4 linked regions of the Saccharomyces cerevisiae S288C genome follow. The protein of the gene in region 1 binds, or shares a complex with, the protein of each later gene. Each region holds a gene or a part of one and is shown in the gene's direction. Other genes may lie near its edges.

What was found.
Region 2: the proteins of CNN1 (region 1) and MCM22 are in contact, whole or in part, in a crystal structure (PDB 6YPC), measured with the Saccharomyces cerevisiae proteins. Residues at the interface, in NP_116704.1 of Saccharomyces cerevisiae: Asp338 (codon at 7,274), Phe341 (codon at 7,283), Glu342 (codon at 7,286), His345 (codon at 7,295), Leu350 (codon at 7,310), Gln353 (codon at 7,319), Ser354 (codon at 7,322), Glu357 (codon at 7,331); in NP_012669.1 of Saccharomyces cerevisiae: Tyr205 (codon at 4,498), Arg206 (codon at 4,501), Leu209 (codon at 4,510), Arg210 (codon at 4,513), Asn212 (codon at 4,519).
Region 3: the proteins of CNN1 (region 1) and CTF3 are in contact, whole or in part, in a crystal structure (PDB 6YPC), measured with the Saccharomyces cerevisiae proteins. Residues at the interface, in NP_116704.1 of Saccharomyces cerevisiae: His280 (codon at 7,100), Leu281 (codon at 7,103), Arg283 (codon at 7,109), Gln284 (codon at 7,112), Asn287 (codon at 7,121), His345 (codon at 7,295), Glu346 (codon at 7,298), Leu347 (codon at 7,301), Leu348 (codon at 7,304), Pro349 (codon at 7,307), Leu350 (codon at 7,310), Glu351 (codon at 7,313), Gln353 (codon at 7,319), Ser354 (codon at 7,322), Glu357 (codon at 7,331), Ser358 (codon at 7,334); in NP_013485.1 of Saccharomyces cerevisiae: Thr91 (codon at 2,684), Pro92 (codon at 2,687), Thr93 (codon at 2,690), Val94 (codon at 2,693), Gln141 (codon at 2,834), Phe142 (codon at 2,837), Ser143 (codon at 2,840), Phe144 (codon at 2,843), Arg173 (codon at 2,930), Met176 (codon at 2,939), His177 (codon at 2,942), Pro178 (codon at 2,945), Gly179 (codon at 2,948), Tyr180 (codon at 2,951), Thr210 (codon at 3,041), Asn212 (codon at 3,047).
Region 4: the proteins of CNN1 (region 1) and WIP1 are in contact, whole or in part, in a crystal structure (PDB 6YPC), measured with the Saccharomyces cerevisiae proteins. Residues at the interface, in NP_116704.1 of Saccharomyces cerevisiae: Ile270 (codon at 7,070), Lys271 (codon at 7,073), Pro272 (codon at 7,076), Leu273 (codon at 7,079), Asp277 (codon at 7,091), Leu278 (codon at 7,094), His280 (codon at 7,100), Leu281 (codon at 7,103), Thr282 (codon at 7,106), Phe285 (codon at 7,115), Leu286 (codon at 7,118), Asn289 (codon at 7,127), Arg290 (codon at 7,130), Ile291 (codon at 7,133), Ile292 (codon at 7,136), Leu293 (codon at 7,139), Pro294 (codon at 7,142), Gln296 (codon at 7,148), Thr297 (codon at 7,151), Thr300 (codon at 7,160), Ile301 (codon at 7,163), Glu304 (codon at 7,172), Ser305 (codon at 7,175), Asn307 (codon at 7,181), Ile308 (codon at 7,184), Met309 (codon at 7,187), Phe311 (codon at 7,193), Leu312 (codon at 7,196), Lys313 (codon at 7,199), Leu319 (codon at 7,217); in NP_001032576.1 of Saccharomyces cerevisiae: Met1 (codon at 4,214), Asp2 (codon at 4,217), Thr3 (codon at 4,220), Glu4 (codon at 4,223), Leu6 (codon at 4,229), Tyr9 (codon at 4,238), Leu10 (codon at 4,241), Arg12 (codon at 4,247), Gln13 (codon at 4,250), Leu14 (codon at 4,253), Ser15 (codon at 4,256), Ser37 (codon at 4,322), Gln38 (codon at 4,325), Glu39 (codon at 4,328), Tyr40 (codon at 4,331), Asn41 (codon at 4,334), Lys42 (codon at 4,337), Leu44 (codon at 4,343), Leu45 (codon at 4,346), Leu46 (codon at 4,349), Cys48 (codon at 4,355), Gly49 (codon at 4,358), Phe50 (codon at 4,361), Gln51 (codon at 4,364), Ala52 (codon at 4,367), Ile53 (codon at 4,370), Leu54 (codon at 4,373), Arg55 (codon at 4,376), Ile57 (codon at 4,382), Leu58 (codon at 4,385).

What each region holds. Positions count from the first base shown.
Region 1 is NC_001138.5:242,484-250,421, reverse strand, and holds CNN1 (centromere-binding protein CNN1), read left to right. Parts: upstream 1-6,262; coding exon 6,263-7,348; downstream 7,349-7,938. Other genes in the region: RET2 (coatomer subunit delta), read left to right, coding at 1-259; PRE4 (proteasome core particle subunit beta 7), read left to right, coding at 556-1,356; alpha-ketoglutarate dehydrogenase subunit KGD4, read right to left, coding at 1,528-1,899; RMD8 (Rmd8p), read right to left, coding at 2,288-4,276; BNA6 (nicotinate-nucleotide diphosphorylase (carboxylating)), read left to right, coding at 5,256-6,143; MRX20 (Mrx20p), read right to left, coding at 7,423-7,938. UniProt on the Saccharomyces cerevisiae protein: Component of the kinetochore, a multiprotein complex that assembles on centromeric DNA and attaches chromosomes to spindle microtubules, mediating chromosome segregation and sister chromatid segregation during meiosis and mitosis.
Region 2 is NC_001142.9:673,024-680,663, reverse strand, and holds MCM22 (Mcm22p), read left to right. Parts: upstream 1-3,885; coding exon 3,886-4,605; downstream 4,606-7,640. Other genes in the region: MET5 (sulfite reductase (NADPH) subunit beta), read left to right, coding at 1-1,707; TTI2 (Tti2p), read left to right, coding at 1,958-3,223; protein transporter TIM8, read right to left, coding at 3,430-3,693; SGM1 (Sgm1p), read left to right, coding at 4,812-6,935; XPT1 (xanthine phosphoribosyltransferase), read right to left, coding at 7,044-7,640. UniProt on the Saccharomyces cerevisiae protein: Component of the kinetochore, a multiprotein complex that assembles on centromeric DNA and attaches chromosomes to spindle microtubules, mediating chromosome segregation and sister chromatid segregation during meiosis and mitosis.
Region 3 is NC_001144.5:877,310-884,655, forward strand, and holds CTF3 (Ctf3p), read left to right. Parts: upstream 1-2,413; coding exon 2,414-4,615; downstream 4,616-7,346. Other genes in the region: YLR379W-A (uncharacterized protein), read left to right, coding at 135-407; CSR1 (Csr1p), read left to right, coding at 973-2,199; leucine--tRNA ligase NAM2, read right to left, coding at 4,758-7,346. UniProt on the Saccharomyces cerevisiae protein: Component of the central kinetochore, which mediates the attachment of the centromere to the mitotic spindle by forming essential interactions between the microtubule-associated outer kinetochore proteins and the centromere-associated inner kinetochore proteins.
Region 4 is NC_001136.10:1,220,544-1,227,623, forward strand, and holds WIP1 (Wip1p), read left to right. Parts: upstream 1-4,213; coding exon 4,214-4,483; downstream 4,484-7,080. Other genes in the region: CTS2 (putative chitinase), read left to right, coding at 1-405; VPS74 (Vps74p), read right to left, coding at 569-1,606; FRQ1 (frequenin), read left to right, coding at 2,216-2,788; PHO92 (mRNA-binding phosphate metabolism regulator), read right to left, coding at 2,931-3,851; bifunctional AAA family ATPase chaperone/translocase BCS1, read right to left, coding at 4,623-5,993; ARH1 (NADPH-adrenodoxin reductase), read left to right, coding at 6,279-7,080.

The sequences.
Region 1 (7,938 bases):
CCAAGAAATGGGAACCTCCATTAAGATTAGCAAAATTGCTGCCAACGATGCAGGTGCGCTAGCATTCACTATCGAAGCTCCATATGAAGATGCATTGTACCCAATGACCGTTTCCTTCCAAGAGTCCACGAGGGATAAATTAGCTAAGAGTTTCACCGGTATGGCCATACAATCTGTTGTCATGGCCAATGACCACGATCAAGAGCTCCCTTACGACGTCATCACCTCTTTGAAATCAGATGAATATCTTGTCCAATAGTACGTTACATTCACATATAAAATACTTAAGTTATATACACAAACTAAATAAATAAAAATCGAGGTATCTTTTCTTTCGTCCTTCTATATATATAGTTTAACTTACTCTTATTCTTTATTATTTTTCCTTTTAGGGTTACCCGTCAATCCTTTTTATTAAAGATGTTCCAGCTTCTTGGTTTAGAATTTGCCACCTTAAATACGTACCCACATAGTAAAGTACAGCTAAGTTAAGAAAGGGGATAAGCAGCAGGAATCCTTCATCTTCCGCCGAAAACAACATAAAAACCCACACGAATGAATCACGATCCTTTCAGTTGGGGCAGGCCCGCAGACTCTACTTATGGTGCTTACAATACACAAATTGCGAACGCAGGCGCCTCTCCCATGGTTAATACACAGCAACCAATAGTAACAGGTACTTCCGTCATATCAATGAAATATGATAATGGGGTTATCATTGCAGCAGATAATTTAGGTTCATATGGCTCTCTTCTAAGATTCAATGGCGTGGAGAGGCTTATTCCCGTGGGTGATAACACCGTTGTGGGCATTTCAGGTGATATTTCTGATATGCAACACATTGAGAGATTATTGAAAGATCTAGTCACTGAAAATGCGTATGACAATCCTCTAGCGGATGCTGAAGAAGCGCTCGAACCCAGCTATATTTTTGAATATCTAGCTACCGTCATGTACCAGCGAAGATCAAAGATGAATCCACTTTGGAATGCCATCATTGTTGCTGGTGTACAGTCTAATGGTGATCAATTCCTAAGATACGTAAATCTTCTAGGTGTTACGTATTCGTCTCCCACCTTGGCCACAGGTTTTGGGGCACACATGGCAAACCCACTGTTAAGGAAAGTTGTAGATCGAGAATCTGATATTCCAAAGACCACTGTACAGGTTGCTGAAGAGGCGATCGTAAATGCAATGAGAGTTCTTTATTATAGAGATGCCCGTTCTTCTAGAAACTTCTCACTGGCCATAATTGATAAGAACACAGGTTTAACTTTCAAGAAAAACTTGCAAGTTGAAAACATGAAATGGGACTTCGCCAAGGATATTAAAGGCTACGGTACTCAAAAAATTTAGAAGAGTTTTATCCCACCTTCATTAAATACTCATTTTATTTTTATTTTTCAATTCATAATATCATCACTCTTCTCTCTTCCTAAGTAACTACGTTTTTACATAGATATAATGATATGTGTAAAGAAACTATAAAATAACAAAAAAAAATCATAATATTACTGCATCTATCCTTCACCATGCACCACCGCTATTTATGCTCTCCAATTCATGCTCGTTAATAGGTTTGTACCGAAACCTAGCAGGTAGCTCGAAAATGGAAGCAAGCTCATCTTTTTGCAATGGCCTGTTAACGAATACAGAGGTCTTTGACGAGCTGAGACCAGCATTAGCGCTATGCTTTATTGGCACTACACGGAATGGTTTATAATTTTCCATGAATTTACTCACTGGAATACACTCTTTGCTGCCAGGTAACATTCCGTTGGTAGCGCAAGGATGAACAACGACCTCAGTTGCATGCTTCACTAAGGGATGCCTTGTACCGACGAATTTTATCATCGGCTCATATGCACTCTTTGCTAATCTTATAGGTGTAGCAATCATTTCCCTGTCTTCTTGTACTTTTATCTTACTCTTATTATCGGTTAAAAACCTGGGGAAGTACTCCTTAATGGTTTGCTTTAAAGAATTCAATGCGGCTAGAAATGAAAAAGACTTTTAAGATCACTGAAACACTGCAATCTGGCTAAAATATTAGTCTTCACTATCGTCTTTTTCTCCTTTGTTGATGCGAAAGATGAATTTACATATTCGAGTCCCTTAGTCATATTATTGTACTTTTAATGCAATCTTGAGGGGAGCCAATCAACGAGTGGTTTTACTTGCACGTGACCAAGAATGGTAATAACGGTGAAATATATGACTAAAAACCTTGATAACTAAATATATCATTAATTTATTTTTAATGCCGTCTAGAAGGGTGTATGAATATCTATGTAGAAGTATGACGATGAATAATTACATAACGAACGAAAATCTCTGTTAATGAAAATATAACTCCAAATAAAATGACAAGAATAAACCACCATGTAACACGAGCCATGTTTCTTTCAGCAACAGAGTCAACGCATATATCAAAGAATTCCAAGAAAACTTTGCAACGATCATTTAATACTTGTACTCTTTGGTCAATTTCTAAATACTCCCTCATTGCCACGTACAGTGGATGCAAACTTGGTTCGAACGACCAAAAAAACTCGGGTGTATCCAATATGGTGGATGAAAGGTTAACATCCACTCTCAATTTAAAGAGCTTCCCTGATTTTTTCAAAAGCTGTTCCCTTTTTAACCCAAGGGTACCATATAATGCTAGTCTTTTAGGTAGTTTTGTGACTGATATTAAAATCGGCGAAATTCTGGATTCAAACCTTGATAATTTCGAAGATTGCGCAATCGCATGTGATAGTGTCAGCTCGATAATGTGGTCACCTGAACGTAATGTGACAATATCATTGAAAATTCTCGGTCTCTCGGTATCTCTGTCATATTCGAAATGGAATTGTTCAGTTTCAATATCTTGTTCATCCAGCGGCCGGATCATTAAATTCTTATAATCTGCAAATGTTATATCACCAAGAATATTTTTCTCTTGAATTTCAGTAAAGTTCCAAAAAACAATAACGCCATAGTGAAAAATGAAAATTTCTGCATGTCTATCATTGCCTTCATGGTCGTTGTCCCTATGCATTTTATATACACGATCAAAATCATTCTGTGATGAAGATGGTGGCGATGGCGTAGATATTGATGATGGCGAAGCTGGTGAACGAGAGGACTGTACATACTGATCGTTTCCCTCAACAGCATAAAGTTTACTCTTATCATTATTTTTATTATTATTATCGTTGCCACAACTTGCATCACTGTCGTTTTCCTCCTTCTTCAGCATGTTTATTCTTTCTGTCCTTTCCCGTTTCTCTATCTCTAAGGGAGTTTCTTCCGCAAAAAATTGTGGTTCCATAGGATTAAAAGAGTCTTGCTGACCAACTGGATTTGGTAGATGATCGGGAACTGTTGTGGTGTCTTGATTAGCGTTATTGTTATTTCCACTGGTTTCTAGTTCGTAATTATTATTTGCATCTTCCACAGTTTCCACACCTGAGTAATATTCATAATGATGATCTCTCTGTTCGCTTGTATCAATTAAATTATCAATTAATGTCTTTCCACCCATTGTTTTCTTAGATAAATTTGATTTGATTCTAAAACCGCCTTTACCTGGTAGAAGTGGCAAAGTATACGCAACGTATAGACACTCATCATACAATCTTGGTGAAACCTCATGAGTTTCCTGCAGAAACTTATACAATTGGTTGAGATTGAAGCCATCAGCAACATTATATGCGGTGATTCTTGCCATGGACTTTTCTTTTGAGTATCGAGGTAGCCGATCGAAGGAATTAGACTTCATAGAGCCCACTTTCGGTCTTTGCCTATCCAGCGCGTTCGTTGGTAGAGTTTGAAAGTGGTTCAAGTTGTCGTCTTCCGGTATCAACACTAACTTTTGTGACGTCTTCGATGTTCTTGGAGGCAGGGGATTGATCATCTTTCTACGCGAACTTAACCGCTCATATTGGCGAGGCCTATCGCTTGAAGAGCTGGATAGCCTTTCCTCTCTTCTGGCAGAGGGAATATCTGAATTATCAGAAAGAATATTATCTATGGATATATCGCTAAACCTGCCAGACGATCGCCTTCTTGGATGAGTAAAACTCTGCAGCGGAGAAGGGCCAATAGCGGAAGAGCGAACTCCTTGAGACTTCGTAACTCCTGCGTTTTCCATATTCTTCCTACTACCAGCAGCGTGTCCAGCGAACGGTGCACTCATTCTATTCTTGGATGTTCTTGCATCTGTCACCAGGATGGAAGGTGACCTTTTCGGCATCTCCCCAGGAGATGGTTGGTTAGCCTTATAACTCATACTGTCGTCTTAAATGGAAGTCCTTTCCTTTGCTCCATATGCAATTTTGCATACGAACTTCCGATTGATATAATCTTGTATTAATGTATGCCTAACCTGGTTTTGTTTTTCTTGTAGGTTTTTCTAGCCAGTTTTACTATAAATTGTCACTTTTTCCTAGTAGTCAATTTGAAAAAAAAAAAAATATATGGGTAATTATAATAACAAGAAGTGTTCTTCTGATTGTCGGAGATGCCTCTAATGCCAATGCACAGGCTTCCATAAAGTTTTCAAGCATGACAGAAAGCTAACTTGTCTTTTACTTCTTTGTTGGGCACACTTCTCATTTTTAAAAAAAAGATTTCCACCTTCACGATCATATCTGAAATGAACTGAATATTTTGTTCTTGTGAGAATAAACTTGTCTACTAATCGCAAATTTTTCAAGATTAACCTTCCGCACCCATTGAGGTACTAAACTGATCTACCCTACCTTTCCTAAATACCTAATGTCAGGTACATAATGCCAGCGACAGCTCAAAATCACGGGATACTAATTATTAAATAGTAGTAGCTTCTTCTCCACGCACAGTTCGATCGAAGGAGCTAATATTCGGCTTGTCATCTTCCATGGCCAGTAATTTTTTTTATTGTCATTTGGGACTAATGAGATGGAAACTAGAATTGTAGTTATACATCCTGAGGTTTCTATCAACTTGTGTGTCACAACGTTTTATATACTTGAATGCGTAGTAGCAAACCCCGGCAAGACGTAAGTTAACTTGTCAAAGGTACAAGCTTGGTTACAAACAATGTGATATTTCGCTCCAGGATATTTTTGCTTTTGGTGACGCCGGTTGGTTGAAGAGCCCCCATTTATCATGACTCCTACCGCAGTTTTCGTATATCTTGGGCCATAAATTCGAAAATTAAAGACACCACTTAATAACGCAACAAAAAGAACGCAATCCTCAGAAAGAACACACACCAAAAAAAAAAAATGCCTGTTTATGAACACTTATTGCCCGTTAATGGAGCATGGAGACAAGACGTCACCAATTGGCTGAGCGAGGACGTTCCTTCTTTTGATTTTGGTGGATATGTTGTTGGTTCCGACCTAAAGGAGGCCAATTTGTACTGTAAGCAGGATGGTATGCTGTGTGGTGTCCCCTTTGCGCAAGAAGTCTTTAATCAGTGCGAATTGCAAGTTGAGTGGTTGTTTAAGGAAGGCTCCTTCTTGGAGCCTTCGAAGAATGACTCTGGTAAGATTGTTGTAGCTAAAATTACTGGGCCCGCTAAAAACATTCTATTAGCTGAAAGAACCGCCTTGAACATCCTTAGTAGAAGTAGTGGAATTGCCACCGCCTCACATAAGATAATCAGTTTGGCGCGTTCGACTGGTTACAAGGGGACCATTGCGGGGACAAGAAAGACTACACCAGGTTTACGTAGATTAGAAAAGTATTCCATGCTTGTAGGTGGCTGCGACACGCACAGATACGACCTTTCCTCTATGGTCATGCTCAAAGATAATCATATTTGGGCTACTGGTTCTATAACAAACGCAGTTAAGAACGCCAGGGCCGTGTGCGGGTTTGCTGTGAAGATCGAAGTGGAGTGTTTGAGTGAAGATGAAGCCACAGAGGCCATTGAAGCTGGTGCAGACGTTATCATGTTGGATAATTTCAAAGGTGACGGTTTGAAAATGTGCGCCCAAAGTCTTAAGAACAAATGGAATGGTAAAAAGCATTTCCTCTTGGAATGTAGTGGAGGCTTGAATTTGGACAACCTCGAGGAGTATTTGTGCGATGACATTGACATTTACAGCACTAGTAGCATTCATCAAGGCACACCAGTGATTGATTTCTCATTGAAACTGGCTCATTGAAAATGCTTAGGCTTCGATTTTTACTTTTTTTTATTTACATATTCTAAATAAGATTAAGAAGCTACGCGTTACCGATTAATGACACACACGACGATTAGTAACGAAATAAGAAATGAATAATGAGCACTCCCAGGAAGGCCGCCGGTAACAACGAGAATACAGAAGTCTCAGAGATCAGAACCCCCTTTCGGGAGAGAGCCCTTGAAGAACAACGTCTCAAGGATGAGGTACTGATCAGAAATACGCCAGGTTATAGAAAACTTTTATCTGCTTCTACTAAGTCTCATGACATCCTCAATAAAGATCCGAACGAAGTACGAAGTTTTTTACAAGACTTAAGCCAAGTGTTAGCACGCAAATCACAAGGCAACGATACAACTACTAATAAAACTCAAGCACGGAATCTAATAGATGAATTAGCGTACGAAGAGAGCCAACCAGAGGAGAATGAGCTTCTTCGGAGCAGAAGTGAGAAACTGACAGATAACAACATTGGCAATGAAACGCAACCTGATTATACTTCCTTATCGCAAACAGTATTTGCAAAATTGCAGGAAAGAGACAAAGGCTTGAAAAGTAGGAAGATTGACCCGATAATAATACAAGATGTTCCCACGACAGGACACGAGGATGAATTGACAGTGCACTCTCCAGATAAAGCTAACAGTATCTCTATGGAAGTTTTGCGCACGTCGCCAAGCATTGGAATGGATCAGGTAGATGAACCGCCAGTACGTGATCCGGTACCAATTTCCATAACGCAACAGGAAGAACCACTATCTGAAGATTTACCAAGCGACGATAAAGAGGAGACAGAAGAAGCAGAAAACGAAGATTATTCGTTTGAAAACACCAGTGACGAAAATTTGGATGATATAGGCAACGATCCTATCCGTTTAAATGTCCCTGCGGTGAGACGTTCTTCTATAAAACCGCTGCAAATAATGGATCTAAAACATCTTACAAGGCAATTTTTGAATGAGAATAGGATAATATTGCCGAAACAAACGTGGTCTACTATACAGGAGGAATCTTTAAATATAATGGATTTCTTGAAACAAAAAATCGGCACGTTACAAAAACAGGAATTGGTAGATTCGTTTATCGATATGGGTATTATCAATAACGTTGATGATATGTTTGAGCTCGCGCACGAATTGCTTCCCTTAGAACTTCAATCAAGAATTGAAAGTTATTTGTTCTAAAAAAGATACCGTAGAGAAAATAATTAAATAGTGGCAATTTATGTACAGAAAAGAGTAAAAGATCCACAAAATTATCAAGACCTGGAAGAGAAGCCTAGTAACAAACTAACCTGTTCATAAACAGTGAACGTTAAGCCTCCTGAAATACCGACTTTCATAAACCTAAAGATGGAGCCCTTCCAGAATGTGGCCATGCCTTCTTGAACAAATATTCTATACATGCAATTTAAGGTATTTTTATATTCAGTTTTGGCATTTTGACTCATCATCCTTGTTTTTACGACGTCAATGGGCTGAGTCATTGCCACGAGTGTAAAAGATGTGGCTAACCCCGTTATTACTGAGGATGCCTTGTCGTTTCTTGCTTGTAACAACCGTTTAAATGCTGTGTATGCAGTAAATTGAATAGAGGTGTTAGCTATCTGCCTAAATATGGTGGCTGTTGTTCCCTGGACGAACGCAGCAGGGCCTCTTGTTTGATACATGTGTTTTACCGCTGGAAGTAGTTTCTCGATACGAGCCACAGGAGTAGATTTAGTCGCCACCTTGTGAAAGGTTGCCTTTGCGTTAACTACAGGTTGATTCTTCTC
Region 2 (7,640 bases), on another chromosome or scaffold:
GGTGTTACTCACGCTAATGAACAATTAATGAAATTTCACGGTATTTACACCCAAGACGATCGTGACATTAGAGAAATACGTAAGTCACAAGGCTTAGAGCCATACTATATGTTTATGGCAAGAGCTCGTTTACCAGGTGGTAAGACCACTCCACAACAATGGCTTGCTCTGGATCACTTATCTGATACTTCAGGCAATGGTACCCTGAAATTAACAACAAGGGCAACCTTCCAGATTCATGGTGTGCTAAAGAAGAACTTGAAACACACATTGAGAGGAATGAATGCAGTTCTTATGGATACATTAGCTGCTGCAGGTGACGTGAACAGAAATGTCATGGTTTCTGCTCTACCAACCAATGCCAAGGTTCACCAACAAATCGCTGATATGGGAAAATTGATTTCTGATCATTTCTTACCAAAGACTACGGCCTACCACGAAGTTTGGCTGGAGGGCCCAGAAGAACAGGACGATGATCCATCCTGGCCATCTATTTTTGAAAACAGAAAAGATGGTCCAAGAAAAAAGAAGACTCTAGTTAGCGGTAACGCTTTGGTCGATATTGAACCAATTTACGGTCCAACTTATCTGCCAAGAAAGTTTAAATTCAACATCGCCGTTCCTCCATATAACGATGTGGATGTATTATCTATCGATGTCGGTTTAGTTGCTATAGTTAACCCAGAAACTCAAATCGTGGAGGGTTATAATGTTTTTGTTGGTGGTGGTATGGGTACCACTCATAACAACAAGAAAACTTACCCAAGATTAGGGTCATGCTTAGGTTTTGTTAAAACTGAAGACATTATTCCACCACTTGAAGGTATCGTTATTGTCCAAAGAGATCACGGTGACCGTAAAGACCGTAAGCATGCTCGTTTAAAGTATACTGTAGATGATATGGGTGTCGAAGGCTTCAAGCAAAAAGTGGAGGAATACTGGGGTAAGAAATTCGAGCCTGAGAGACCATTTGAGTTTAAATCTAATATTGATTACTTTGGATGGATTAAAGATGAAACTGGGTTAAACCACTTTACCGCATTTATTGAAAATGGTAGGGTTGAAGATACACCAGATTTGCCTCAAAAGACAGGTATTAGAAAGGTTGCTGAATACATGCTTAAGACTAATTCTGGTCATTTCAGATTGACTGGTAATCAACATTTGGTTATCTCTAATATTACAGATGAACATGTTGCTGGAATAAAATCTATTTTAAAGACCTATAAATTGGATAACACCGATTTCAGCGGTTTGAGATTATCTTCATCTTCCTGTGTTGGTTTGCCAACATGTGGTTTAGCGTTTGCCGAATCTGAACGTTTCCTACCTGACATTATTACTCAGTTGGAAGATTGTTTAGAAGAGTATGGTTTACGCCATGATTCCATTATTATGAGAATGACTGGTTGCCCTAACGGTTGTTCTCGTCCATGGCTAGGTGAATTAGCTCTTGTTGGTAAAGCTCCACATACTTATAACTTGATGCTTGGTGGTGGTTACCTCGGCCAAAGGCTAAACAAATTGTATAAGGCCAATGTGAAGGATGAGGAAATTGTCGACTACATCAAACCATTGTTTAAAAGGTATGCTTTAGAAAGAGAAGAAGGGGAACACTTTGGTGATTTCTGTATAAGAGTAGGTATCATTAAACCAACCACCGAGGGTAAATACTTCCATGAAGATGTGTCTGAAGATGCCTATTAATGATAGCATATGACATAGTAGGACATACTATTGGGTTTTCTTCCCACATTTATTTATTTTTTTCGCAATTGAATATAACTTTTTATTTTATAGAAACATATTTATTTGTATAATCTTGTATATTAACAGTTAAGACTCATTATTGTTATCCTTCGGCTAGTTCGGTTTTTCAATAGCAGATGAGAAACGAAAACTATGAAGAATGAAAACGAGGTGAAGAATAAAATCATATAACAAAATATTGAAAAGAATGACGGCCGTAACTGATATCATCGATGAATTGAATGATTCGAGTCTTTCTTCTACAAGGCTTCGAGAGTTGTGTCTCCAGTTACGAAAGAAGACAGATACTGGATGTGCAATTACGGTGTCCGATGAGGTCAACCTTATTGAATCTCTCTCATATCACTCCATATCTCCAGGAGTAGACATACAAATCAACACAGATGTTTTGCAGACTATAGATTACTACTTTCAGCGTAACAAAAGTGAACATGACGAAATTATGTGCGTCCTTATTTCTAAGTTACAGCCACTACTTTTAAAACGCAAAAGCAACTTCGAACTCAAAGAGCAACGTAATCTTGGTCTCAAACCCACGCTTGGAATGTCTTTGAAAGAAGATAACCTAATGCAGGCGTGGGTAAGTCAGGGTGGCTTGAAAGGCATTCCGTTATTCTACGTAATTCTGTTACATTTGAAAAGGAGAGACATATCTACGAATCTTTCTTGGATTATTCCAGGAATTCTAAACATACTAGATGATACCACTGATATAAGAAGAATTAAACTTCGTGGTGTTCTGCTCCTACAGACGCTATTAAATCATACCTTTATGAACGAAACCAATGACTCAAAATGGATACAGTTCTCTAGTACTGGTTTATTTCCACTGTTCGAAAAGACGCTAATCAATATGTGCTATTTTCTCCCTCCCTCATACAATGCTGATGAAACAATAGCCATATGGCGGGTCGTTTTCCCAACGATACAGTCGTTATATAAAGTAGAATTTTTGGACAATTACACAAAGTATCAATATCACCTGGAAAAGTTCATGTCAGAGATAATCTTGCAAAACATAATTCCTAGGGCTAGCCTTGCATACGAAAATTTGACGTTATACGCATTGGAATGCACAATGAACATACTGAGACTTCAAAGAGAAGGGTCTGTTGTACATCTCCAGAGGCTGATTTTTGTTTTAGGTGAATATATTGTACGAAATCCTTTTTACACAACTTTTCCAAAACTTATTTCAAAAACTCTTTCAGTGGTAAGTACTCTCATAAAGGTTTGCCCGAATGAAAGAATAGTGGCTCACAGATTCGACATTTTATCATTAATTCTAGTTACATACGATAAGTGTTCGCAAGAGGATGCGTTGAACGAATCAATACTACAACAATGTAAGGAAACGATAAGCTGGTTGCTGAATTGTGACTGCGCTATGGGTGAACAGTTATCGACTCTATCTAAGCAACCGCGGTTTCAGTTACTTTTTGAGTTCTCATAGGAAACAGACACAGACACAGACAAATGCATATACATATATATATATATATAACTAGACAGTATATAAACAAAAAGAGTTATTTGCCCTTTATGCTGAAGAATCCCTTTTAAAGAAACCTTGGACATATATTAAAATATTCATTTGCTTATTTACAGATATATTAAGGTAAAGAGAATAATGACTCGGAGAGATAAATCGGTTTCATATTAACGGGTGTTTTGCAACCCGTTCACAATCCTGATATTAGTATCCAAAAACCGATTCACACAGTTAGACAAACATTGCTCTTCTTGCGAACTTAAATTAGAATCATTGACAGACTCAACACATTTTTTGAAGCATATATTAGTGAATTGATGGATTGACATCTGGACTTTTTGTTTGGAGTTCTCTCCCTCCAAGAAAGTAGCAATTTCCTTTTTGGAAGTGTCATCAAGGGAGGCCAAATCAGACGTTGATAGAGAAGACATTCTTTGTTGTTTGTAAATTTGTTTTCCTTTTTACCTCTTCTTCAATACTTTCATATAAATGAATGTTTCCATCAATTTTTACGTTAGTTAATAACTAACCGTTCGCTTTGATATGCAGCGTAACAACAAACAAGACGCATATGACGACAAAGAGGGACAAGAGCAAACGGCAGAAAGTCTCACAAAGGAAACATGGATGTTGAAAAGGATGTCCTGGATGTCTACATAAAGAACCTGGAGAACCAGATCGGAAACAAACGATATTTCTTGAAGCAAGCTCAAGGTGCCATCGATGAGATCACGAAGAGATCTCTGGATACAGAGGGTAAACCGGTCAATTCTGAGGTCTTTACAGAGTTATTAAGAAAACCCATGTTCTTCTCAGAGAGAGCTGATCCTATTGGTTTCAGTTTGACATCGAATTTTTTGTCTTTGAGAGCCCAAAGTTCCAGTGAATGGCTCTCGCTTATGAATGATCAATCAGTTGATCAAAAGGCCATGTTATTGTTACAGAATAATATTAATAGTGACTTGAAAGAGCTGCTACGAAAACTGCAGCATCAAATGACCATTATGGACAGTAAGAAGCAAGATCACGCCCATATTAGAACACGAAAAGCCAGAAATAAAGAGCTTTGGGACTCACTGGCGGACTTTCTCAAGGGTTATCTAGTACCGAATTTGGATGATAATGATGAATCAATAGATAGCTTAACGAACGAAGTCATGCTGTTAATGAAAAGACTAATTGAGCATGATTTGAATCTGACATTAAACGATTTTTCATCTAAAACGATACCAATATACAGATTATTACTTAGGGCTAATATAATAACAGTAATTGAGGGCTCTACAAATCCAGGGACTAAATACATCAAACTAATAGATTTCAATGAGACCAGTCTAACTTAAGTAATACTTCGTAGTCAAAGTGTGCTTCGTAGTGGTGTGAGGATGTTATAAAGCGCCAAAATTTAGAAGATCATAATTTGGCAGTAACCGTAGATTATTCACCAAAAAGCTCTTGACTTCCTCTTTTAATAGACTGTCGTTAAAAGGTCCTTAGTCCAGAATAGTATATAAAAAGTGTTGTATGGTAGTGGTATACCAATTTTGCTATGAGTAAAAAATTATCGTTGGAAGAGAGACTCTCCTTGGCAACTAAGAAAGGAAGAAAGAAAAATAAAAGGTCAACGTCAAATTTGTCGTCTCCATCGCCTGTGGTGCTGTCAAACAATGAACAAGAAAGTGCTCGTACATCCATTGATGATGCGGCTGCCGGTGTGGTGTCAATTGACAATGCTGAAAACATAGATGATCCTGCGGTACGATCAGAAAGCACTGTGGAAGGCGATACAGGTAAGGCAGATTCAATCGCTGTCGATGACGTGGTGCATCCCGATCACAATAGGACTGATTGCTTCGACGACACTATGGTATCACTGCCTACATGGCTACCTAAAAATTACACTGAATTTACTGTTGAAGAATTAGTCAAAGAAATTAGTCCTGAATATTTAAGATTAAACAAACAGATTGATGACCTAACTAACGAACTAAACAGAAAATCACAAATCGAAACCACGGATTCTAGTTTTTTCAAATTGATTAAAGAGAAGGACGACTTGATAGATCAGTTGAGAAAAGAAGGAGCTAAATTAGCGGAAACTGAGCTGAGGCAATCAAATCAAATCAAAGCTTTAAGAACAAAAGTGAAAGACTTAGAGTATGAGGTATCTGAACTAAACGATAGTTCTGCTCAGAGTGTCGAAAACTATAATGAGCTGCAATCATTGTATCACAACATACAAGGACAACTGGCTGAAGCTACAAATAAATTAAAGGATGCAGATAAACAAAAAGAGTCACTTGAAACATTAGAGAAAAATATAAAAGAAAAAGATGATTTGATAACAATTTTACAGCAATCTTTAGATAATATGAGAACATTGCTTGAAAAAGAAAAAAGTGAATTTCAAACGGAAAAGAAAGCACTACAAGAAGCAACAGTTGATCAAGTTACCACTCTAGAGACTAAACTAGAACAACTAAGAATAGAATTAGATAGCTCTACTCAAAATTTAGACGCTAAATCAAATAGAGATTTTGTCGATGACCAACAAAGTTATGAAGAAAAACAACACGCATCTTTCCAATACAATCGGCTCAAAGAACAGCTTGAGTCATCAAAGGCCAACTGGGATAGTATTGAATACGCTTTGAACACTAAAATTGTGAACTTGGAAAACCGCTTTGAATCTACAATGAAAGAAAAAAATGATATTGAAGAAAAATATCAAACTGCCTTACGTTCATCTGAAACATTAGGTAAGCAATTAGAAAAAGAAAAAGAGAATCATTCGAAGGCAGTTTTGGAAGTGAAAGACTTGGAGAGACGGGCGGAGACATTGAAGTCATCATTGCAAAGTATAAGTGATGATTATAATCTACTGAAGAAGAAGTACGAAATTCAAAGGTCTCAGTTGGAACAAAAAGAGAACGAACTAAAACCACATCAAGAAAACAGCAATGAGAAAATTATAGATAAAATACCTGTAGAATTAACAGATAGTTTAAACTCCATGGAGGGAAATATAGAAGACGAATGGACTTTACCTCAAGAAAATTCTATGCTGTCATTATCAATGTCAAAACTTGGCGAATTAGAAAGCGATCCGTCTCTAAAACCCATTTACAATGAATCTCACGAAACCATATGTAGCGAAGAAAGCCAACATTTTGATAGAAAAAATGTGGATTTCAGCATTGACGATATTCCAGAAGAGGCCGCTGCTTTACAAGCAATCAGGGAAGGGGAATCAATGAACTCGTTAAACAACACATCAATACCATACAGAAGAGCTAGCGTCCAGCTATCGAATTCTAACGGCCACATAAGCGCTCATCTGGTGAACAAGTTAAGTACGGAGTTAAAAAGATTGGAAGGTGAATTATCAGCATCAAAGGAATTATACGATAATTTACTGAAAGAAAAGACAAAAGCAAATGATGAGATTTTAAGACTTCTGGAAGAAAACGATAAATTCAATGAGGTAAATAAACAGAAAGATGATCTCTTAAAAAGAGTTGAGCAGATGCAAAGTAAATTGGAAACCTCCTTACAACTATTAGGTGAAAAGACTGAACAAGTGGAGGAATTAGAAAATGATGTGTCCGATTTAAAAGAGATGATGCATCAACAAGTTCAACAAATGGTAGAAATGCAAGGAAAAATGAGATAACTAGAAATACACTCTTATCTTTAGATTTAGGTTAAATATGAAATAATTACCAATGATAACTATATGTATCTATATACATGCAACCCCATCGCAACATACTGTTTGTCATCAGTCATGACCTTGAGCCTTAGCGAGCATGGTATGTTCTTCGATATCTTCAGCGTCCCATGGATAGCACAACCACTTATCAGGGACAGTTTGCGCAGCAATGTAACGTCCAGAATTCATCATGGAGTCAGGTAGTCCAGCTCTCTTTGGTTTGTCCTTATTATGTAGAACAAAGATAGAAATAACGGTTTCCTCACTCATTCTATTCAAAACCTTTTGTTGTTCAGCAATCTCTTTTTCCAGCTCAGAAACAGCATAGTGGAGGGTAGTTCTAGTATCGTCAACTTCATCCACAATTAGGACCTTTTTACCAATTAAGGAATCGAAATGTTGGTTCAAAGCACCGAAGTCCAGCCATTGTGTTCTGATGACCTCTTTGCCGATAGTTTCGACGCTATTATCCAACCCTAAATCTTCATACAAAGATAGGCCGATGGCCTGAATCGGAATATTCTTTTGTCCTTTAGTTTTCAAAAAGGACCTAATAATTCTTGCGGGGATCATACCACCACCAGTGATGGCGATAATAATATCAGGTCTTTCGTTTCTAGCTAAGATATGTTTAGCCACTCCCTGACAAAGCTTGTGAATATTATT
Region 3 (7,346 bases), on another chromosome or scaffold:
GGTTAGTTCGGAGGCCGCTGAAGTTTCCGATTGGGAGCAGGAATTGAGGATGGAGGGTGCAAAGTGAGGTCCTTGATTTGTTGTTTTTACACTAAACTACGTTACCACCGTAACGCCAATTCAAGGCAGGAATTATGCTTGTTGTTTGGCAAAAGTTGCCGAAAGAAAGAATGAGAGAGAACGACAAAGAGAATGAGAGAGAACACGTAAAGCGAAAAATCTGGAGCGCTGCCGCGCCGGGTAACAAGTGTGAAGAGAGAGAGAGATGTAAGGAAGATGAATACATTCAATACATTCTAGCTTATAGCAAGCTTTCAGCAGGCTCAATTGCTTATAGCGGTATAACTGCAACAAGAGTGAAAATTAATATGGTGACGAACGACGGATTCGGTAGTACAGTGTTATAATGCCGGCAATTACCGTATGCCATCGGAATCCAGATGCATTTCTGAACCTTTCCACTCGGGAAAACCACTCGTCATGTCACACGGAGAGTTGGCCATGAACTGGCTAATGGGATGGTCTAAGGCGACCACTGTAAGAAGAACAAGAGATGATGCAAGCTAAAGCAAGCAGGTCTCAAATAAACGCTACTTGTGCCGTTGACAGCTTGTTTATCTTGCACATGGCAAGGCCATCGCGTCCCTGCGTCCCAAGAGTGCGCGGTATACGTGCGGCCCTAAACGAGGCGGTCTCTGTTCTCTGATATATTTCTTTTCTTTCTTCGTTGTTTTGTTTCGTGTTTGTTGAGCTCCTGCCTTCAATCGGCATCGTCCTCTTGCGTACGTACATAAAATCGTTACAGCTTTGTTCACATGGTGAAAACAATAGCGTTTGGTACGCTCTTTAAATCTTGGCACTTGTCACTTACGCTCCTTTAAACAAAATCAAACATACAAATATACGGATACGTACGCACACAGAAGCATAAAAGCACAAAAGCACATAAGAAGACCACATATAAACTAGATTATGTCCTTTGATAGACAGTTGACCGAAGACCAGGAGGTCGTCCTTAAGCAAATTTGGACACACCTTTTCCATCTGTGGCAAGTTCCCGTGGATGGAACTCATATTTTCCCTAATAACTCCCTCCACTCCTCGTCCACCCCTGCTAAGAAGAAGAAATCATCCTGGTTTAGCAAGCTTCAGTCCTCAGACCATACACAGGACTCCAGCGAAGCCGCTGAAGCGGCACACCTCTATGAAAAGGGCAAGATACACAAGGCACTAGCCAATCTAGACCCGCAAACGACCAAGAAGCAGTTCTGGCACGATATCAAGAATGAAACTCCAGACGCCACCATTTTGAAGTTTATCAGAGCCAGAAAGTGGAACGCAGACAAGACCATCGCCATGTTGGGTCACGATTTGTACTGGCGCAAGGACACTATTAACAAGATCATAAACGGTGGCGAAAGAGCTGTGTATGAGAATAACGAGACCGGTGTCATTAAGAACCTGGAATTGCAAAAGGCCACCATCCAGGGTTACGACAATGACATGAGGCCAGTCATCCTTGTGAGACCTAGATTACATCATTCTTCCGACCAAACTGAACAGGAGCTGGAAAAATTCTCCCTGTTGGTCATCGAGCAATCAAAGCTTTTCTTCAAAGAAAACTACCCCGCATCCACCACCATCTTGTTCGATCTGAACGGGTTCTCCATGTCCAATATGGACTATGCCCCCGTCAAGTTTCTAATCACTTGTTTTGAGGCTCACTACCCGGAATCTTTGGGCCATCTACTTATCCATAAGGCCCCTTGGATCTTTAACCCGATTTGGAACATCATCAAGAATTGGCTGGATCCGGTCGTCGCGTCCAAGATTGTTTTCACTAAGAATATCGACGAATTGCACAAGTTTATCCAACCCCAATACATCCCTAGGTATCTGGGCGGAGAAAATGACAATGATTTGGATCATTACACTCCACCAGATGGCTCTTTGGACGTCCATCTGAAAGACACCGAGACTCGCGCTATGATCGAAAAGGAGAGAGAAGAATTGGTCGAACAATTCTTGACTGTCACTGCCCAATGGATTGAACACCAGCCATTGAACGATCCAGCATACATTCAACTGCAGGAGAAAAGAGTACAACTTTCCACCGCTCTTTGTGAAAACTACTCCAAGTTAGATCCGTACATCAGATCAAGATCCGTTTATGACTACAATGGTTCTCTAAAAGTTTGAGCCAAGCCACGCGACGCTCCATACTGTATAGACCTTTATTATAAAAACATCTATTTCTTTATATGTCCCTCTATCTTATTTTTCTTTTACTTTTATTTGTATAATACGCGAAAAATTATAGAATCATTTATTATCAAAAACAATCAACTATGAAATGAAAAACAATACGCCTGCTAATACGGTTCGCCCTTCAATTTTTGTTTTTTTTACATGAATGAGTCTTATACTAGATGATATCATCCTCTCACTAACGAATGCTAACGAACGAACGCCACCACAGGCCCTTAAAACCACTTTAAGCCTGCTATACGAAAAATCAAAACAATATGGTCTTTCTTCGCCGCAACTACAAGCACTTGTAAGGTTACTCTGTGAAACTTCCATAATAGACACAGTTACAAAAGTGTACATCGTCGAAAATTGCTTTTTACCTGATGGCTACTTGACGAAGGAACTTCTTTTGGAGATTATTAACCATCTCGGTACGCCAACGGTATTCTCTAGATATCGCATACAAACGCCTCCGGTCCTACAATCTGCGTTGTGCAAATGGTTAGTGCATGTTTATTTCCTATTTCCTGTACATTCAGAACGAGAACACAATATATCCAGTTCTATCTGGTTACATTTATGGCAATTCTCGTTCTTACAGAAGTGGATAACTCCCCTGGTTATTTGGCAAGCCACGACGCCCGTTGATGTCAAACCTTGGAAGTTGTCTATTATCAAGAGATGCGCTATGCATCCAGGTTACCGGGACGCTCCCGGTAGTGCGACGCTTATTTTGCAACGATTTCAATGTCTCGTGGGCGCATCCAGTCAGATTACTGAATCAATAATTACCATCAATTGCAATAGAAAGACTTTGAAAAGTCATCGAAACTTAAAATTGGATGCGCATTTCCTATCCATTTTGAAAAGAATATTATCCAGAGCACATCCCGCTAATTTTCCCGCTGACACTGTCCAAAACACAATTGACATGTACTTGAGTGAAATTCATCAATTAGGTGCTGATTCTATATACCCACTTCGACTTCAATCACTTCCAGAATATGTTCCCTCTGACAGTACGGTCTCTCTTTGGGATGTCACTTCATTGGAACAATTAGCTCAAAACTGGCCACAATTGCATATTCCCAATGATGTAGATTACATGATGAAGCCATCTTTAAACAGCAATGTTTTACTGCCGCGAAAAGTCATGTCTAGGGATTCTCTCAAACACTTGTACTCTAGTATCATTCTCATTAAAAATAGCCGCGATGAGTCGTCATCACCATACGAATGGTGCATTTGGCAATTGAAGCGATGCTTTGCACATCAGATAGAGACTCCGCAAGAAGTTATTCCCATTATTATTTCGGTGTCCTCAATGGATAATAAACTGTCTTCTCGCATTATTCAAACGTTTTGTAATTTGAAATACTTAAAACTCGATGAGCTTACGTTGAAAAAGGTTTGTGGCGGAATCTTGCCATTATGGAAGCCTGAACTAATCAGTGGTACAAGGGAATTTTTCGTTAAGTTTATGGCCAGTATTTTTATGTGGAGTACACGAGATGGTCACGACAATAATTGCACATTTTCTGAAACTTGTTTTTACGTTTTACAAATGATTACAAACTGGGTTTTAGATGATAAATTGATAGCACTCGGGTTGACACTACTGCATGACATGCAAAGCCTGCTAACTTTGGACAAAATCTTTAACAATGCTACTTCAAACAGATTTTCTACGATGGCTTTCATCAGCTCGTTAGATATTTTAACTCAACTGTCGAAACAAACGAAGTCGGATTATGCGATCCAATATTTGATTGTGGGCCCTGACATCATGAATAAAGTGTTCAGTTCGGACGATCCTTTGCTATTATCAGCTGCGTGCAGGTACTTGGTTGCTACGAAAAATAAATTGATGCAATACCCGTCAACAAACAAATTCGTTCGGATGCAGAACCAATATATCATGGATTTGACAAATTATCTTTACAGGAATAAAGTTCTGTCATCCAAAAGTTTGTTTGGAGTCTCACCAGATTTCTTTAAGCAGATTTTGGAGAATCTTTATATCCCAACTGCAGACTTCAAGAACGCTAAATTTTTCACGATAACTGGTATACCAGCGCTATCCTACATATGTATTATTATTCTAAGACGACTGGAAACGGCCGAAAATACCAAAATAAAATTCACCAGTGGGATCATAAATGAAGAGACGTTTAACAATTTCTTTCGAGTTCATCATGATGAGATTGGCCAGCATGGTTGGATAAAGGGCGTTAATAACATTCACGACTTGAGAGTAAAGATTTTAATGCATTTGAGTAACACTGCTAATCCATATAGAGACATTGCAGCATTCTTGTTTACATATTTGAAGAGTCTCTCAAAGTATAGCGTTCAAAATTCTTAGAATATGCATCCACATTTATATACATATATATATATATATATATATTATAACTTCCAAAAAGGAGATTGGACAATTTATATCTATAAGGCATTAATATTTAACTATTTACAAGCACTAGTGGTAAATTCATGGCGTCATATGATTACTTGTGGAATAAGAAACTAATCACATTGAATTTCATGACAAATTTTTTGATTTTTTTATTCATCAAATACATTCTCCCTTCCGGTAAGTTCATCAAAGTTTCAATAACAGCATCCCTACCTAATTTCAAAAAGTTTTTGTCAGCCGTGTACATGAATTTGACTCTGCCATTTACCACAATTTGAAACTTTTTGAATTTGGACTCAGTAGTGCGCTCAACTTCTGGCCAGCGGTATTGGTTCCATTCCATTTGGGAGTTGATCATCTCTGCAGCTTCTTCTGAAATTGACGGGACAGCAGGATATATAACGGTTACCAACTTTTGTAAATTCTGTACTATCATTTCATTCCTTACTTCACCTTTTTTCAATGCACTTTCTAAAATATTGGTTAGCTTCATATAATCAGATATTACAGTGTTTAACGATAGATTAACTTCAAATGATTCCGTAATTGATTTCAAGAAGCGTTGGAAATCGTTGTGAAATTTCACTTCTGCATCATTTAAGTCGGTCGGGGTCTTGTAGTCTTTACTTATTGCCAAATCCTTCTCGAGACTGAGAATATTTTTGGTCAAATGAAGAACCTTCTGCAACCAACGTTCTATACCAACAATCTTGGATTCATCCCAATTCAGGGCATCTGCAATTGGACTTTGGAAGAGGATATGTGCTCTCGTAGCATCAGGTCCATGTCTTAAAATACATTCATTTGGATCTGCACCATTGTATTTAGATTTCGACATTTTTTCATAAGAGACTACCGGAACCTTGCCATTTGATTTAATAATCACTGTGTTGCCATCTGGAGAGTCATTTACAAAGGTTAACTCGTCAGGCTTCAAAAATTTACCAGAATCGGGGTCAACATAGGTTTTCCCTTGAACCATTCCTTGTGTCACCAGTTTTTTGAATGGTTCGAAGATGCCAGCAGGGTCGCTCCATGCATTGATAGATCCGAGAAATTTAGCAATAAACCTTGAGTATAACAAGTGTAAGATAGCATGTTCTACTCCACCAATATAAATATCAACCGGCATATTTTTACTTGCAATTTCACGATCAAATGGTTTTGAAGTGTTTTTGGGATCCAAGAATCTGAAATAATACCAAGAACTATCGATAAAAGTATCCATGGTGTCAGTTTCTCTTTTCGCAGGGCTCCCGCATGAAGGACAGGCGACATTTACAAATTCATCGATTGTGGACAGCGGATTCCCTTTTGTATCCAAGCCTTCAAGTTCTGGTAGCTTGACAGGTAGATCACTTTCTGGAACGGGGACAGGTCCACAGTTGTCGCAGTGAATGATGGGTATTGGAGTACCCCAGTATCTTTGTCTACTTATCAGCCAATCTCTAATTTTGTATCTAACGACGCTCTTAGACAGTCCTTCGCTATTCAACATCCCCATTATCGATTTCCTTGCCACTACAGTGAGAACTCCTGAGTGTTCTCCGCATTCTTTGGTTAGGACACCGTCAGTAGATGTGAACGGGACAGTATCAATTATTCTTTGTCTTTCCTGTTCAGTTACTTTTGAAGCATCGTCAAAAAAAGGTGCTATGCACGTCTTGATATGTTCACCAGGACAATTTGTTTGCCAAAACTCAAAATCTCGGTTATCGTGTCCTGGACAACCCATTACTGCACTAGGTGCTGAACCATAGCTGCTGACCACATATGGAGCTGCAAATATGGGGACTTCCTCTTTAGTTAAGGGATTTACGGCCTTTATGTTAGGTAACTGAAATCCTTCCTTCGTATCGTTTGGTAATTGATCACTTTTCTGTATAAACTCTTTTAAATCCGGCATTTCCTCGCAGTATTTTTGTACAATTGGGTGGTCTAATGCGAGAGCAACATACTGTACAGCAAAAAGAGTTTCCGGTCTTGTTGTAAAGACAATCAAGTTTTCAAATTTGGGGTCCGCAACTTTGAACACTAATTCTGCACCCACAGATTCGCCTATCCAATTTTTTTGCATTTGCTTCACGTTGGAAGGCCAGTCCTTCAGTTGGTTCAAGTGCTTTTTCAATTTAGGAGCGAATTTCGTTATTCCCAAAAACCACTGTTTTAGCTGCTTCTTTTCCACAATAGCCCCTGATCTCCAAGAACGGCCCTGGGCATCCACTTGTTCATTAGCCAAAACTGTCATATCAACGGGATCCCAATTAATTTCTGCTTCTTTACGATAAGCTAAGCCATTTTCAAAAAGTTTTAAGAAAATCCATTGGGTGAATTTATAGTATTCGGGATCACATGTAGTTATTTCTCTGTCCCAATCAAAATTTGCCAGCATACTTTGCATTTGTTGTTTCATTTTTGCAATATTGTCCCTAGTCCATATGGCCGGATTAATGCTTCTTTCTATAGCAGCGTTCTCGGCAGGTAACCCAAAAGCATCCCATCCCATCGGATGTATCACGTTGTACCCTTTTTGTTTGTAAAATCTATTCAAAGAGTCGCTAATGACATAAACTCGGAGATGTCCTATGTGAAGCGCCCCAGAAGGATATGGAAACTGGCACAGAATATATTTCGACCCGCTATTCAGAGTATCCTGCTTAGGCAAGCCACGGGTTGTCTT
Region 4 (7,080 bases), on another chromosome or scaffold:
GAAATAGATAAAGCTGATGGCAAGGAGGGCATCTGGCCTTACAAAAATTTACCAAAGATTGGTACAATAGAACAATACGATCCAAAATATGTTTCAGCATATTGCTTTGATGAAAAAAATTCAATATTTATCAGTTATGATAACACTAAATCAGTCAAAACTAAGGCTGAATATGTGACACATAACAATTTAGGCGGAGGCTTTTGGTGGGAGTCATGTGGTGAAGCTTATGCAAATGAGTCAAGGTCGTTGATAAACGCATTTAATGAAGGCTTGCACTTTAATGTGTCATCAAAACCATCAATATTTCAAGATGTGAGAGTTAAAAAATATTACTTGAATAAATATGGCGATGGCGGATTTTTATCTCCATATTTAAAGCATTTGGATTCAAGAAAGCAATGAATACGAATGTGGGCGTATATAATAACAAAAAGTTTGGTCTATTTATTATCCACTCCGTATATGTATATACATATATACAAATTTCGTTTATTAATGTTAGAGGCTTATAAAAAAAAGCTTGACTTTTCCTTATGTTTCAAAGAGAGGATTTTTGTTGTTATTTTCATAATAGCATATCCATTCTTGAAAAGACTTCAAATACACCAGCAATAACTTCCAATTGTAAATCATGACCAGGATTGTTTTCTATCTCTTCTTTAACTTCCTTGTTTAAATTAACGGAGACACCTAACTCAGTTTCCTTTTCTAAATCAAATGGGTATTGCGAAAATTGTGCCATTATTTCTTCAGCTCTACTAATTGCCTTATCTCTCTTCTCATATTCCAACGTAGTCAGGACATTCTCCAATACGTTTGCCCCATATGATCCACATATTAAAGCTAAAGTTCTAATGATTTTGAAAGATGTTGTCTCCGGAAAATATTCATTGTAACTTAATTCCATGTTCCTCGATACGAGTACAGAAAGTACTCTGCGCTTAATGGCTTCTTTGCAGCTGGCGTCTGCAATGGGGTGTGTCGCCATGTCAAACAAAAAGAAATTTTTCATTTCTGTTCTCAATACACCTTTATCGACCAAACCTTTTGCCAATCTTTCCCTTACTTGTTTCAATTGATAGTTGATCTTTAAAAGGTTCCATGTTTCACCACTTAAAAGATCAATCCAGTTAGAAATTGACAAAGGTTCGTCGTTTTTCATCAATTGCAAAGTTTCATCCAGTAAAACTTCCCCAGTTTTGGAACTGTCAATAACTTCAATCAACCTTTCGGAAAGATCGAACCTTTTCCTGGCGGAATCATCTAAGATTCTGATTTTACCTCTTAACGCTAATTCTATAATTATACAACCACGCAAAGCATATGAAATACTATCATTCCAAAACGACAAATATCCTTCTCTATCTCTTAAGCCCATCAATAAGACTTCTTCCATCAACGTTAACGTAGGGATATTGATGTTGTCTCTCAATTTCGATTCTTCTGGGTCATATGCAATCTTTTTGTTTGTTCCATTGTCATCATCCCCGTCAACAGCAATATTTGCGATTTTGTCTCCTTTGGTATTGTTAGCAGAAGAATGAATGGAGGAAGTATCTCCAGAATCCGCCCTATTGACTCTACGACGTTGTAAAGTAGACATGATTTTTGCTTTGTATTTTTTTAGATAGTTTTTGTTTGAATTCTTTTACGTTATCAGATCAAAAGTTGTAATGAAAATATAGCCAACAATGAAACTGCTAATTTAGCTCTATTTGTTAGCGTGGAAATTTGAAATTTATTTTTAATCTATAAATGCAGCAGCCCAAACCGAAACAAAAGAATAAGTGAGTTGAACAGAGTAAGCAACGGGCCGATATAGAACTGAAAAAGTCAACGTACCCAGAAAGCAATTAACTGCGACACAAATAGATGTCAATGTCCAAAAAGGATAGATAAACAAGATTACGATCCAAGGCAGGGATCTAATTGTTTTTAGGTAAATGCGTACCCATTAGCCTCTTTTTTTCAGTAGTAGTTGACTGCTCAGGAAGTAAAAAAATGAGCCAGAATTGATCATTAAAAACGAAAAAAGGGTAACTCTTCGGTGTATTTTTTATTATTATACCATAGAGTACTGAAATAATGTTTAATTTGTCAACGATTGAACTGATGAACTAGGGATATTACCTCCTGTTTTATAATTGTTGCTAGTTTAAGAATCGGCGAGAGTTATTTTGTGCTTGAAAACTGTTTTTGATTCAAAAAAAAAATGGGAGCCAAGACGTCAAAGCTTTCCAAAGATGACCTGACATGTTTGAAACAATCCACCTATTTTGATAGAAGAGAAATCCAGCAATGGCATAAAGGATTTTTGAGGGATTGCCCTAGTGGCCAACTAGCTAGGGAAGATTTTGTTAAGATATACAAACAGTTTTTTCCATTTGGTTCTCCTGAAGATTTTGCTAATCACCTTTTTACAGTTTTTGATAAAGACAACAATGGATTCATACATTTTGAAGAGTTTATCACAGTTTTGAGTACAACGTCCAGAGGAACTTTGGAGGAAAAACTGAGCTGGGCTTTCGAACTTTATGATTTGAACCATGATGGATATATTACATTTGATGAAATGCTAACCATTGTGGCGAGTGTTTATAAAATGATGGGGTCTATGGTTACACTTAATGAGGATGAGGCAACGCCCGAAATGAGGGTAAAGAAGATCTTCAAGTTGATGGATAAGAACGAAGATGGTTACATTACGCTGGACGAATTCAGAGAAGGTTCTAAAGTCGATCCCTCTATTATTGGTGCCTTAAACCTTTACGATGGCTTAATATGAAAACTTTGTTTTTGCTTCTTATGGATTGGATGTTATAACAGTAGAAGTAATTTTAGGATAATTTTAAATAAAAATAATATTAAAAATAATAATAATACTAATAATAAATGAGAATAAAATGTTGATAAATGAGGGATAAGGTCTATTCATACGTCTCATCCAAGAAGGAGAAAATATCAGAATCTTGAGTTTTAAATAGATTAATTATTGAAATTCCAATCGAATATGGAATTTCTTGAGTATCTCTGGAATGTGTTATCGGTTTCATTTCATTGGATGGTATCAAAAACCTTTTTAACGATCTGTTATTTATATCACGCACGATCACCCATCTTACTTTAAAGGCTTTGCCATATTTTTGTTCATCTTCCCATATACTGGTGTCCAAATCCATTTTCAAATCCGATACCATTTCTGCAACGCCACAGAATCTTCCTGATGTGTTGATTGAAAAAAATAAAAACACTTTGGCTCCCGAATTAAGCTTTTTATATGCCTCAGATAGCCTTTTGTTGCCGAAATGAGTAGACGACCAAATTCCGTTGTAAAACGACCTTTTGACATGCTTCAAAGACGAGGACTTTATTACAAAAAATCTTGAGTTTTCTGGAATATTTAACCAAGGGGGAATAATTGCAGCACTTTTTCTTTTATTAATTTCATTGAAAGTTTGTTCTTTAGTTGACTGCTGCAAATACCTTGGTTTGGATAAATATTCCCTGTAATAATTATTATTGCTATTATCAGATTGGTTGTAGTCTCTAGAAAAGGAGAAATGCCGATTTAAATTTGAGCTTGTCAATGGAATACTATTAATCTGGTGTGTATAGTTTTCATGAGTGATCTCTTCTTTATTTTCTTTCTTGTTAATATCATTTAAAGCTGTGACATCGTTCTTTAGCTTTGGGTTTGTTTGTACTTCAATATGAGTTCTCTCCAAGGAATGGATCAACCCATCTAGTTCTCTTAAAGAGTCTTCAATTGTCCTGTCATTTCTCTTATTTTCTTTCCATTCAGAGTTGAAGTAAAAATTTGGGGGACCTGTAGACCAGATTTGATTCATTTTTAGAGCACAACGCAATACTTACGTCACACCAGCCGTAGACGATATCTTCCTTTCTTAACGAAATAGTAACAGAGGACACAATCTGAAAACTTCTTTTGCGATTCATAACCAACAGAAAATTTTGGAGGAAAACAATGTAGCTGTATAAATATATATATATATATATGTATGTATACTTATTTATTTATATATATATCACAAAAGGCTACCAAAAAGATTAGCCGCCGAGGTACATCGTGAGGAGTGATATTCTGGGGAAACGGGTAGCGATTTCGTGTCTATTTTCGGTCACCAAGTCAACGTTACTTACTGTCGTATAACCAAAGTACAACAATAGCAACAGTTCCTAACATTCTTCCATGGATACGGAAGCATTGGCCAATTATTTGCTACGGCAGCTTAGTTTAGATGCGGAGGAGAATAAGCTAGAAGATCTTCTCCAACGGCAAAATGAAGATCAAGAGTCTAGTCAAGAATATAACAAGAAATTATTATTGGCATGTGGATTTCAGGCCATTTTAAGAAAAATTCTGCTGGATGCTAGAACAAGGGCAACTGCAGAAGGTTTGAGGGAAGTATATCCTTATCATATTGAAGCTGCAACGCAGGCTTTTCTGGATAGTCAATGAAGGGGTATTTTTAAGCCTCTTTATCATATACTCTTTTGTTCGTAATAGCAAATAACTCGGTCTTATTAACGAGAAAAAGTTAAAGCATCTTCTGAATTTTTATTATATACAAGTTATGTAGTAAGGCGCCACTTAGCACCTAGAAAATATGATTAGCGTTCCGTAAGCTGGAGACCATTTTCAACGCATCGTGTGGTGCATCTTTATTCATAACGAAAAGTCCTTGCAACTGGGCGGTACTTACGGTGATATCCAATTCTTTAACACTATTTACAAACTTTTTGCATATATCAGTCTCACCTGGGTAAAATTTCATAAACATTTTTTCTACCTGGTATGGAGTTGCGTTACCAACGAAGACTTTGTAGTCAATACGACCTGGTCTCATTATAGCCGCGTCTAGCTTTTCAGGATGATTGGTAGTCATGAATGTAATAGTTTCTTCAGAAGATGTGACGCCATCCAGGGCATTCAGTAAACCGCTAAATGTTACGCTAGAATGAAAACCTTGTTCACCAGTTTGACTTCTTTTGTTGAACGCCGCGTCAATATCTTCCAGTAATAGTATGCTCCTTTCTGGCATGTTATTCATTAAGTGGTTTAATCTGTCATCTGTTAAATTATTTTCGGAGAGGTTTAAAATACAAATGTTGTAGTCTAATTCGCCCGCTAAAGCCTGGATAAAGCTAGTCTTACCAGATCCGGGAGGGCCATAGAGTAAATATCCCCTGCGATATGGGATACCCCTGTCAGAGTACCATTTGCCGTTCTTCATAAAATCATAAACGTCATCGAGAATACCCTCTTTGATGCCACTGTCCAAAATGACGGAGGGCAGCATCCTTTTAGCTTTTGGTTGACCAAACTTTCTCCATTCAGGGCCGAAAGAAGTGTAAATAACAGTCTTGCCCTCAGTAGTCTTCAGGGCTATGTCTTTAGCCTCGTTCAAAATGTCATCGAACAAATGTTTGTCACGGTACAGTGTAGTTAAGGTTACGGTCTCAAATGGTGACCCGTTTGCGATATCTATCATTTTTGCGGACCTTTCTCTTTTAATCAGGATAAAAGCACCCTTATAACGAATCCAATGATTTCCCGGACCCGGAACCAGCGAAAATTTTGTACTAACTGATCCATTGTCATGTTGTATGTAGTTTGTCCTAACGGATAAGTGTCTAGATACCCTTTGAGGATGTTTGGCCATCCATGTTAGAAACCAGGCGTATGATTTGTCCTTCGACTGAATCTCTAAGTCGACAATCATTTGTCGGTATAGGACCCTGCTGGCTTTTATTATACCGGATCTAGCTACAGCTAAACCTGTACCAAGGATCATAAGACCACCGCCGGCGGCAAAATAGGGATTGTTTGACATAGCATCGCCAACTAGTTTTGAAAGTTTTTCCCGGACTGAGTCATTACCAGTTTCATTTGTTGGCGGAGTAATTACACCACTCAGATTTGGAGTAGCCTGTTTATCATATTGTATGTCAATCGGCTTATCCGACATGGTAGATTGAGGGCACACTTCATTTTTTTTCAAATCGTCCCTTGGTACGTCTACTGCGTTGCAAATATAGAAGAGTGGAAATCTTTACTTATACTATTTACATCGATTTTTCGGCACTCTTTAAGGGTAACTCAATCGAGATATAATTCGAAGAGCAGTAAACTATAGCTCGAACGTAACAGAAAGTTTTTTGCTTGCTATAGTTCTTGGCCACAACGCCTCATTCATTCATTTAGAAAGTTTCTCACTCTTTCTTCTTCCTTTTTTAGCTCATTACTTGTGAAAATGAGCTTTGTTCAAATAAGGCACATTTCTTCACAAATAAACCGTAAGACTGTATCCATTGTTGGATCGGGGCCTTCCGGCTTTTATACAGCGTACCATTTACTCAAGAAGTCACCGATTCCATTAAATGTTACTATATGGGAAAAGTTACCTGTTCCTTTTGGTTTAAGTAGATATGGTGTGGCACCTGATCATCCAGAAGTCAAAAATTGTGAAGAAACGTTTACCACATGTGCAGAAGAGTTTTCTTCCCCTACAAACCAAAAGCATAAATTTTCCTTTGTTGGTGGTATAACCATTGGAAAAGAAATATTGTTGAAGGAATTGCTGGATAATCAAGATGCTGTTATTTTAAGTTATGGTTGTACAGGGGACAGAAAGCTGAATATCCCTGGCGAACTCGGAACAAAAGGGGTGTTTAGCAGTAGAGAATTTGTCAATTGGTACAATGGTCATCCTGATTTCGCAAAGGATAAGCGATTTACCGATTTTGACTGGAGCAAAGTTTCGAAAGTTGGTATTATAGGAAACGGTAACGTTGCTCTTGATATTACGCGTGTACTTATTTCTAATCAAATTGATGAAATATGGGAAAATACGGACATCTCATCTCTTGCACTAAATTTGCTAAGAAGGGCACCTGTAAAGGACGTTAAGCTAATTGCACGAAGGGATTTCGTTCATTCCAAATTCACCAACAAAGAATTAAGAGAACTATGGGAGTTAGAAAAGTATGGCATACGTGGCCGTATTGATCCTAAATTTTTCCAGAAAGAAATGTTTGACCCATCTAAGTACGATC